2 linked regions of the Caenorhabditis elegans genome follow. The protein of the gene in region 2 interacts with the protein of the main gene of each other region in a pairwise test. Each region holds a gene or a part of one and is shown on either strand. Other genes may lie near its edges.

Evidence for each region. Proteins that work in one complex are often made in the same cells at the same time.
Region 1: the proteins of famh-136 (region 2) and C33A11.2 interact in a two-hybrid assay, tested with the Caenorhabditis elegans proteins (one large-scale study listed by BioGRID).

Annotation. Positions count from the first base shown.
Region 1 is NC_003284.9:15,364,346-15,370,526, reverse strand, and holds C33A11.2 (Aa_trans domain-containing protein), read right to left. Parts: upstream 4,536-6,181; 5' UTR 4,531-4,535; coding exon 4,455-4,530; intron 3,756-4,454; coding exon 3,481-3,755; intron 2,563-3,480; coding exon 2,385-2,562; intron 2,079-2,384; coding exon 1,984-2,078; intron 1,853-1,983; exon of another isoform or gene 1,781-1,852; intron 963-1,780; coding exon 771-962; 3' UTR 528-770; downstream 1-527.
Region 2 is NC_003281.10:8,885,997-8,890,648, forward strand, and holds famh-136 (FAM161 homolog famh-136), read left to right. Parts: upstream 1-1,754; 5' UTR 1,755-1,761; coding exon 1,762-1,886; intron 1,887-2,000; coding exon 2,001-2,202; exon of another isoform or gene 2,203-2,419; coding exon of another isoform or gene 2,420-2,697; intron 2,698-2,793; coding exon of another isoform or gene 2,794-2,943; intron 2,944-2,989; coding exon of another isoform or gene 2,990-3,047; exon of another isoform or gene 3,048-3,160; intron 3,161-3,851; coding exon 3,852-3,956; 3' UTR 3,957-4,147; downstream 4,148-4,652. Other genes in the region: putative RING finger protein ZK637.14, read right to left, coding at 2,420-2,697, 2,794-2,943, 2,990-3,047; lnkn-1 (Protein linkin), read left to right, coding at 4,240-4,434, 4,492-4,611. UniProt on the Caenorhabditis elegans protein: May play a role in locomotion and behavior.

The DNA of each region.
Region 1 (6,181 bases), on a different chromosome or scaffold from region 2:
GGAAGAATTCTAAACCAAACAGAAACTCAAATATACAAATCAAATTCCAGTTTTTTGATCTCTAATTGATGTATTCATTGGTAGTCGTATGGGAACACATTAACTTATGGTTTTTTTTTCGTCGTTATTAAAGTTTCCATATTTAAAAATATCTTATCTTCTCTCATCATCATCATCATTCAGTTTTCCCCGAAAAATTTGAGTTTTGTGATTTATAAATTTTGTATCAAGATTTTCTCATTAAAAAAATTCATTTTTCCTTTCTAATTTCATTTTTCTATCTTTTTTCCTTCAATTTTCCTTATTTTCATCTCTCTCTCTTCCTGTTTCTCTGAATTACCATAATTACCTCAAAAAATTGTGCAATAGTTTTACCCACTATTTTTTGTTCTCCAGCCCTTTCCCGAATCGATCATTTCTCTCTTTGTTGTCATTTTAAAAACATTTTGTCTTTTCTTTTTTGCTCTGAATTGTCTCCTCCAATTATTCAAATCTTGTGTCCCTAGAAAGATGAAAAAAAAAGTTATAAAAATAAATGGTTAATTGATTGATAGCACCTGCAACAAACAATTCAATGGGATATACAAGGCACTAAAAAAACTGGGTAGTTGGGGAATCTTTGTGAAAGAAAAACGGGGATGCAAAAAACATGAGATGTTACAGCAAAATTAAATGTCATGAAATTTCAAAATACTAGTAGAACACGTGAAAATGAGCTGCGTCAACGGCCCACCGGTAACAGAAAGAGAAAGATTCGAATGCAATAATTTCTAGATGCCATATCCTTGGTACTCATTTTCATACTCCTCCTGCTCAAGTGCTCCGCGCGGAACGTAGTGCGATTTGAGATAATAGTCGAGGGAGATGTCCTCAAACTCCGGCCCAAACGACTGTATGAAGAAGATCTGTGAGATGGCACATCCCCATTCAGCGAGCGCCGAGATCTGGTGCAGCTCGTAGCCCTGGAAATTTGAAAAATTGTTTTCTAAGAACTTCAAGGGGTTTTTTTTAACTCATTCTGCCTTGTGTGAGACCAGACTATAAACTGATTTTTTAAGGTACATTGTTCCTAAAATACAAAACAAATATTTTTTCCAGGAATTCAATTCGGGAGACCAGGAATTACCCATTCTGCGAATTTGCTGGTGGGGATTGAGGGAATAGATGCTACTGCAAGTGAGTTTAAAAAAAAAAGAGCATTTGAAATTTCCCATGAAACAATTTTATAGCTGACATCAAGATTCCAACAAGATTGTAGTGGTTCCTTCAACAGAAAGTCTGTTTAAATGAAATATTTAAAAAAAAAAAGATTAAATGACGATCCGTTCTACAAGCGCTATGCACTGCGGATCTATAAGTCAGGTACACTGGTGCTCCCCCTGGGCTATAATTTAAGCCACGTCCTAGCCGGGGACTGTGGACAATAATCCAGTCGTGGATTGCTGCACTTCCCAATAGAGGCTGGGTAAACCCAGGGGGTGAGGCCGGACTTGAACTTGTGACCTCCAGATTGTTAATATATAATAATAATTGTACAACGTGCGCGCGTTGAGAGCTAATGGGTGTTGGCCCGACTAGGTCGGGGGGATCTGAGCGACGACGACGCCCCCATTAATCACCAGACTCGTAACTGATCGATGCACTTCAGATATTATTCACCCAGCGCCGAGTTTTTTTTTCTGTACGGACCTCCGGCCCGTCTATTAACCACGACTTTATTTGGGTATCATACATCATAATGATCAGGCGACCAACGCACCGGTCAAAGCGGAGACAAGAGTGACCGGCGTGGGGATTGAACCTGCACCATGTGGGTGAAAGTCGCGCACCTTACCCACTAGACCACTCAGGCCAACCTCCAGATTGTTAGCGGCCACCACTACCGACTGAGCTATGCTGCCCCCGGAAATATATATTTTTTTTGGTTTTATAGTTTTCGACTATCATTCAATGTATTATTTACTGAATATCAATAATACTTACGGGCTGATAAATACGACGGGACCAGGGACGGGGCGTCGGAAGATCCGGGTACGTCTTGTGGAAGATTTTGGAAGCAGCGATTCCGAATCCAAATGCTGAAAATTTAAATTTCTTTGCATAGCCATGAATCATTGAGATCATTTATGATACATCGCTAAAATGTTGCACAATTTTTTATATATCCGATTGGTGAGCTAGTTTAGACTTTAACCAAGGAAGACTTCAAAGATCATGCGCAACTTCCTTTAACATTTGTCGATTCTATGTAGCGTAATCTTGTTAAATTATCAACCAATTCGTATTTTAAATCCACTACAGGGAACAACTAGATGTTATCATCAAGAATGCGATCAATCTCTTCAGAAAAAAAAAAAATTCCGAGTGCAAAGGTCGAAACTTACAGCAGCAGAAGCAAATCACGGAGAAGATAGTGAAGATCACACGGTAATAGAAAACAGTCCTCAGTGTGATTGTCGGTGTGACTCGGTGCGTAAGGTAGCACTGGAAGATCATGTAGATGCTGAATCCACCAAATGAGGCAACGGCGGAGGACATGTGAACCGGGATGATGGCGGTTTCCTGAAAAGTAAAAATTATTAGGAGAAATTCCGTTCGGACTTTTCTCTCGTTCGGGTTTTTTTTCAGCGTTTGTTGTAACATTCTAGTTGTTGTGGCGGATTTCAGTGGCAAGTTTGAACTGGAGAAGAGCCGATGGGTAAATCGCTCTGGGTTCGGTGAATTAAACGCTGCCAAAGTAAAAAGGGTCACTGTACACTCGGCATTTGGCTTCAGCTTCTTGTCTAAATTTGGCCCAAAAAATATTAGCTTGAATCGATAGTTAGCTAAACTTGGACAAAAGTCGGGCAAGACTTTAGCTAAACATTGATTTATTCTGCGCCAAAGTTTAGTCCAAATTTCACCCATCTCTTGCCAAACTTTTGCTCAAACTTGTCTTGTTTTATTTTAATCTTGGGCAGAAGTTTGGCAAAAATTGGATTAGACTTGGGCAAGAAGCTTGAGCCAAATGTCGATCACGTGACAATAGTTTAGTTTATTTGAATTAAAAAAATTCTGAAAGTCGTCATAATTAATTTTCTGATTACATTTTTTATATCTGATTTGGGGGTGGGCGGCAAATTGCCGGTTTGCCGATTTACCGGAAATTTTCATTTTCGGCAAATTGCCAATTTGCCGTTTGCCGGATATCAGATTTCCCGGAAATGTTTAGGGAAATTATTAATAAGACGGGTAAATTCGGCAAATTGGCACTTTGTTTGCCGCCCACCTCTGATCTGATTCTTAACAGTTAGAAAGTCGACTGGATTTCAAACTACAACCCTGATAAATTATTCATTTACCAGAACCCTATCAATTGCTATAAATCATCAAATCAAGTACATTTTTTGCTACAATTCATATAAATTTCTACATCATTGACAAAACGTTTTTTTTTCGGCTTTGCCGAATTAAAATTTAAACTTATTCAAAATTAACTACCTGAACATTTGCCACAAAGAACAATCCCAGCGCGGCAATGTATCCAAACCACTTTTGCCGCCAGTTCCATGCCTGCAGGTTGGCCTCATCATAGAATGCGAAAATGCCCCTCAACTGGCGATATCTCACAAAGACCACAAGGGCAAGCAGAACACTGCTGATGTTGGCTCCGATGGCAAAGATGCATGATTGGGGACGTTTGTCGGCGGCCGACGAGAGGTACGGGAAGATTGGATCGACGTCGTGTTTGAGCACTGCGATAGTGTAGACGAAAACTGAAAGTTGATATACATATGTACATAGTTAGGCCTGTTTGGAAGTAATTTGTCAATGTGAATTTGAAACCGTATAGGAAATGCATAGTGTGTATCCTTTTTTTTTAATTTATTTATATACCATTTAAAAATTTTCTAAATTCGTCTTTAAAAAAAAAATAATCTATGGGGTTGTTCAAGTAGTGCCGGAAAATTAAAAAGTCTAGAAAAATAACGTCACAACTGTGTTAAAATACATTAAAAACAAGGTATGTTAACACAGTTGTGACGTCATTTTTTTTACACCTTGTAATTTTCCGACACTACTTGAATAACCCCATAAACTATATTTGTTGAAGATGAATTTTGAATTTTTTTAAAAATAATATATTAATAAATTTAATTTAATTTTTCTTCCAATGCATTTTGACTTGTTTCACGAGATATCCAAAATCATTGATGACTTTGTGAACGGTTTTATAGTAAAATAACTGCGAAATAGCAAAAAATAGTTCTAGTTTTGAAAACGAAATTTTGATGCAATGCTAAAAACGAAATACTCTAAATTAACCTGGTGTCTTTAGAAAAAAAAATATTTGCTAAATAACAGAAGTTGCAATTTAAATTTAAAAAAAAACATTGTTGTCGAATAGCAGGACAATTTGTCTTTTTAATTTTCAAGTTATTCTATCACTTTCTTTTGTCACAAAAAAAACTTACATGACTGCACGAAGAAGATGAGCGCGATAAGAACGGGCAGCGGGCCGAACCCTAGTTTTGACAGGCCGACACACATGCCCTGCAAGAGTAGAGTACAAACAAGAACAAACGAGAATCAAACAGTGAAACAACAACACAACAACAAAAATCGATGTGAAACATAATCATGTGAGGAAACGATTTTTTTTGTTGGAATGGGGATGCTTTAAAAAGTTATCAGAACGGTGTTTCTATCTCGAACGTTATATACTCTTATCAATTATTTGATAGAAGGCTCGGAACGATTAGAGGGCAGAAAGAAAACAGCTGCGTTTTGGCGGAGAAAAGAAATTTATTTGGAGAGGCAGAGAGAAAGTAAATTGATTAGTATCTTTTCGAGGTCTTCCTAAAATTCTATTAACTTTAGTTCCTTTTTTTCAACTAATGCTTTCAATTTAAAAAAAAACTTCGAAAAAATAGGAAAAACAACGAATTTCATAGCATGAAAAAAGAATTAGGCCTAAAAAACTGGAGACCATTTGAAAACTGTTTTGCGCGTGCAATCCGGTGTTCTAACAGTCGGCAAGTGTTCATAACCAGTGTGCACAAAAGACACACACACGCAGACACGTGACCCCTACGGACACTATGTTGCGAGAGTGAGACGGCGAGACAGCTGAGGAAGGATAGAGGTGTCAGGACTAATACGAGACAAAAGGGCAACTGGAGGGGGCTAGTTTTGAACACAATCTGAGGACTGTCACGTGAGCAGTTGTTGAGGGAAAAAAACGGGAGGATTGAGAAATCATGTGGTTGCTCAGAAAAAAAATTTGGAAAAGAAACTAAATGTTTTGGAAAGACACATCCTACCGTACCTTACAATAAAGATTCGGTATCCCCAGTAGGGAATTTTTTGAAGTTAACTCCAAAAAACTTATATTGAAAAATTGGGTAAGGTAATGTTACTCATAATTTTAGAAGTTGCACAAAAAATCTTTTACCTAAAATTGTTGTTTTCCAATTGTGTTTTGGGCATTGCCCTAAATTTGTTAAATAGTTAAAATGTATTGTAAATTTTCCAAATTACCAAAAATTTGCCTGCAAAATTTTGAAAATCTAAAAATTTTCAAGTGATTTATCTTAAAATTCGTCCATTCTGAATTTTTAAAAATGCATGTAGACAAAAAAACAACTGACCCTACCTTCACCTTTAAAAGGGATTAGGAAATCCAGTGTTTGCATTTTAATAGATACGTAGAACAATTTCAAGACCTGGAAAAATGAATATATGTAACTGGCTTTTTTGAAATTTACAATTTTTCAGTTAAGTATTCAATTTTTGATACTAATTCAGACTTTAAAAGATTGTGCAAATTTTTTGAAATTTTTCAGAGAAAAATGAAAATTGTTGAAATACCCTGTGAATTTATATCTGGTGAAAACCAATACAGGAAGAAAAGTGAATCATTATTCCTTTGTATTGCATTTCTAGGTAGATCTCAGACCGAGCAAAGCAAAAATCCACAAAACATTTTTTTTCAATAAATACTGTCATTATTGCTCAGTGATAACGAGTTTTGCACGGGTTTTTTTTCGAATTTTGAAATAAAATGGCTCGGAAAACAAATTTGAACATTTAAATAGCAAATTGAAAAATTGATAACTGTTTTTTATCTAATTAATAATTATTGTCATTTTCAAACAAATTATTTTTGCAGACGATAAAACTTTTTTGTAAAATAAATCTC
Region 2 (4,652 bases):
AACCATATTCACAAATGCATTCAACAAATATTATGTTAATAGTATGTTTAAACGTTTCCGGTCGGGTCGTGACAAAGTCAAAAACATTGGTAATTGAACAAAACATTCCAATTTCAAAATGTTTTTATGGCTGCAGTTATTCAATAGAATACTCAATAATATATTTCGCTAAAAAATAATTGGAAATGTAATTTTTATTCAAATAATTTTTTTCAACAAACAAAAAAAATTTATAGTTTTTTTTAAATTTAAAATCACATTTTTCAAAAAATTTGTAAAGCTGTTTGCGGGGAACAGGAGGGAGGTGGGGATTACGAAACAAACATGAAATCGATGTGGTTAAGCCGGGAGACAAAATGACCCAATAATTTGTCCAATGACGTGGATGTGTGACACCAAATTCAGAGCTCAAAGCTTCAAACGGAAAAGAATAAAAACCAGGAGAGTTGCTCCAGATTCAGAGAGAGAAAGACGTCTCCATATATGACTCTACGTCTATTCATAATGCGCACTGTCTCTCTATTTGGCTCAGCTGAGCATCATTGGCTTCGAAGCAGTAGAAGAAAGCCGAGAAATGGAAATGGAGGAGGTTAAGAGAGACAGAACGTGTGAGAAAGAGAGAGCGAGAGGGACAAAAATGAAAAGTAGGCGGTTTAAACAAACAAAGAAAAACACAAGGAATATCGGATCGAAAGGATGCTCCGAGGAGCAATATTCGGGAAAAAAAGGAGCTCCGGTTTCAGAATGTCACTTCTGAATTTGGAAGTGTGACAATTCAAAAGAATTAGTATAACTCAGCGGCCCGATTTTTGTACCAAAAATACGGTCTCGACACGACAAACTTTTGTTAATTGCAATTTAGCTGTAAAATGGTGTGCGCCTTTAAAAGAGTACTGTAATTTCCATTCCCAAGTTGTGAGAAAACAGGAGAAAAACGAATATTTATTAAAACAGGAGAAAAAAGATCAGAAGATTTGAGTATTTTGTTTGAAATAACAACAAGTTGACCAAATTATTTGTTTTTTTAGTTTTCAGAAACAGTTTTGTGAATGCATTTCATGAATGGTTTTTGTGTCAAAGCAACGTTATAATAAAATTTAAAAATAAAATATTTTAATCTCTATTTATTATAACGTATTGATTTTTACAAACACTTTACTATTTATAATACAATTACTTTCTTGATTTTGGGATTTTCTTGAAATTTGCAATATTTTCGCAATATTTTCGGAACGACATTTTGAAATCTCGACATTTCACACAATTTTTGCATGTAAACGTTGTATTTGCCACCGTTTTAATTGATTTCTCTCAATTTTAATTTCAGATTCATCAACTACAGTATACTCGCCTTTGACTTTCAAGCTCATCGAGAAGTGCGCCAGCTTCGCATAATCAAGAAGTGCGTCAGCACTCGACTTGCGCAATTCTTGTCAACTGATATGATTTCTTTTTGTTTTTTGGTTATTTTTTGCGCGTTCTTTGTGCTTTTCGTTTTTTTTTTGTTCGTTGGTTTCTTTCTTTAATGAAACGAAATATTTTATTTTAGTTTAGACTTCCAATATATAGAATAATTAAATTGCATATAACATGACGAAAGGAAGTATAATCTGGGATTATAAATTTTGAGCTTTAGCTATCTTCCTTTATCCTTTAATTCTTGCGTCATTCATAAATGACATATCGTTTACTTTCGAAAATTGATTTTCACATGTCCGTTAACAATAAATAATTTAATTTTATAATACTTTTAGGGTAAATATGTCAAACTCAACGATGGAGGCTACTCAAATGAAAGTAAAGCTGGCTGTCGATGAGATGATTGACGATTTGGATAAGACCTATTTGAGGGATATGCAGAAGAGCATGTTTCAGTGCTCAGCTCGGTAATTATTTTCGAAATTACACTAAATATGTTTAGTAAGCAATTTGTATTACGCTAAACCACCTGAAAATGTCTAATTTAACTTCGCAATTGAAAATTTTTTGCATTATTTCAGGTGCTGTGACAACAAGAAAACCACACGCGATGCTGTCGAGAACTGCGTTGAAAGCTGCAACGATGGCATGAAAAAGGCGCAAGGCTATCTTGAAAAAGAGCTCGGAGGGCTTCAAGACCAGCTCTCACGCTGTGCAATGACTTGCTATGATAAGCTTGTTCAACAGTTTGGTCCAGATGTCAATAAGTATTCAGAATCACAGGTGTGAAGATTTATTAAATTTTAGAAATCAAAAAATTTATAAATTAATTTAGGATTTAAAAAATCAACACCCGAGGGGGCTCATAGCTCACAGCTTTTGGTGGAACATTTTTTTGGAATTAAAACAAAAGTATATACAGTGAAAAGCTAGTTTGGGTTGAAAATTAATTTAGTTTTGTCGAAGAAGAATTTAATAGAAATAAGATTTAAATTATAAATCATCCATACATTGAATCGTGAAGCTCTTCAAGATTTCTCTGTCTCTCCTCCTCCTCAACTTCTTTATCAGTTTTGACCTTCTGACGGCATGTTGGGCAAGTTTGTTGAGCTTCAAGCCATAGAGTGAGACAAAAATAATGAAAGCGATGTTTGCATGGCATGACGATAACTGTGGTTCCGAACGTTGTTGGATCAATTTTTAATTCCTCTTTGATGACATGATCTTCAGGAATATCGACGTTGTTTTGCAAGTTATCCAAACAAATTGCACAGGTTGCTGAAAAATAGATTATTTAGGCAAATAGTCAGCATTTTTTCTGAGTGTTTTTTTTTTCAAATACAAGCTTTGCTCAATTTTAATAGTTTCTCATACCATCTTCTTTCTGTTGATCTGTAGTCTCTCGATCCATCAGTCTCAGCGCTTTATATGATTTTTTGTCAATTGGCAAACTTCCAACATTATACAAATCCAGCCATCTTTGCATCGCATCTGTTTGTGAACCAGTACCTTCCGCTCGCATTCCTTAATTTAATATATAATTTGAATGCTTTCTCATAAAATAACTTACTGACGAAGATGGTTTCGAGCATATGCGAAAAAGCTCTAATAGCGTCTCTTTCCGACATATCTAATTGCCAGATAAAATATTTTAAGAAATGACGAGAGATATGGTGACAAAAGGAAAACGTACTTACGCAAGTGCAACGAAAAACGTGCAATTCGTCGTAACGGTGTTTGCGGATTTTTTGCGTGTCTGTCTCGCACTCTCCATTCTTTCATCACGAGTTTTGATGACTATTTATGCAAATTTCGGGGGTTTATGAATCACCAATCAAGTGCCACGCTGTTCATCGATTTTTAGTTTTGTATTACTTTTGCTATTTTAATAGTTAGACCCTCATAAGATTTGTATCGAGGGGTGTTTTTTTTTTAATGTAACATTATGAAATCTAAAATGATTCATTTTCTTTTCTATTCTTTCTGTCGTCTCTAATTAATGATAATTATCAATTTGGTAGAAATTTAGCGATCGCTAAAGACGCACGGTATTATTCAGAAGGGTCTCGGCGCGGAAAAAAGTTTATGGTAGTTTTTAATATTTTTTGCAGCTGCTTTTCCTTACATTTTTCATTGCAATTACCTCGATTTTAGCAAATTTTGCCTTTTTTTAAAACATTTTCATGTTAAAAATTGTTGTAAACCAGTTTTTTATTAAAAATATGTGTTTTTCTGTTTTTTGGCGTGGAAGAAACAGAAAAGTGAAATATATTTTCTTTACGCGCTGAGCCCCATCTTAATAAATTCCGTGCGCCTTTAGCAAGGCATGGCAAAAATATTTATAAGACACATTTCTGTGATCCTAACGCCTCTGATTTCTCACAAAATTAAAAAAAAATTGATCAAAAATTAAGAAAATCCTCGCATTTCAGAAGCTCAGTTTCAACGAGAAGCTCGATTCGTGTGTCTCTGTTTGTGCTGATGATCACATCAAATTAATTCCGGCAATCAAGAAGAGATTCGCGAAAAATACCTGAGAGCCAGCCACACATTTTCCACCGAGTATTGCCATATCCCCTCTTAATTTCCCATTTATCAAAAAAATATCCCATTTAGGCGTATTCTCCACTCATTAGGCTCCCTCATTGTTGCTCACTATTATATCATTATTTTTCTTTCATACTTTTTTAATAAGTTTTCATGCATTCAGTCATAAAATCTCTATCCCAATTGATTTAAACTCTCCTTAAACGTTTTGACCGTATTTCATACTTTTTCCACCGAACTTATTCTCTTCAAACAAAACAACGTTCAGGTACTATGAAAAAAATATTACCGATCATATGGCTCATCAATTTGGTTAGTGGAAGCCTATCACTCGAGAAAAAAGCTCCCGATTTACTTGGAAAAGTATGTGCATTTGGAGATTTCAATGCAGATCGGAATACTGATATTCTGGTTTTTGCGAATGGAACATTGACGATTAATTATCAAGAAACTAAACTTCTTGATGTGGTTAGTTTTTATTTTTTCTTTTGTTGAAATTTCACATAAAAATTTTGAAATTTTCAGCTCGAAGCTTCCAAATTCACACCAGGAACATCGTTTGCCATCAGTAAACCCAGCCTGAATGCAGATTTTGTTGAATGTTCAGTTGGCGATTTCAATGGAGACTCTAGGCTTGATGTTTTGGTGAGTTTATTGAAAACATTGTCATTTTGCTTCATTGAACT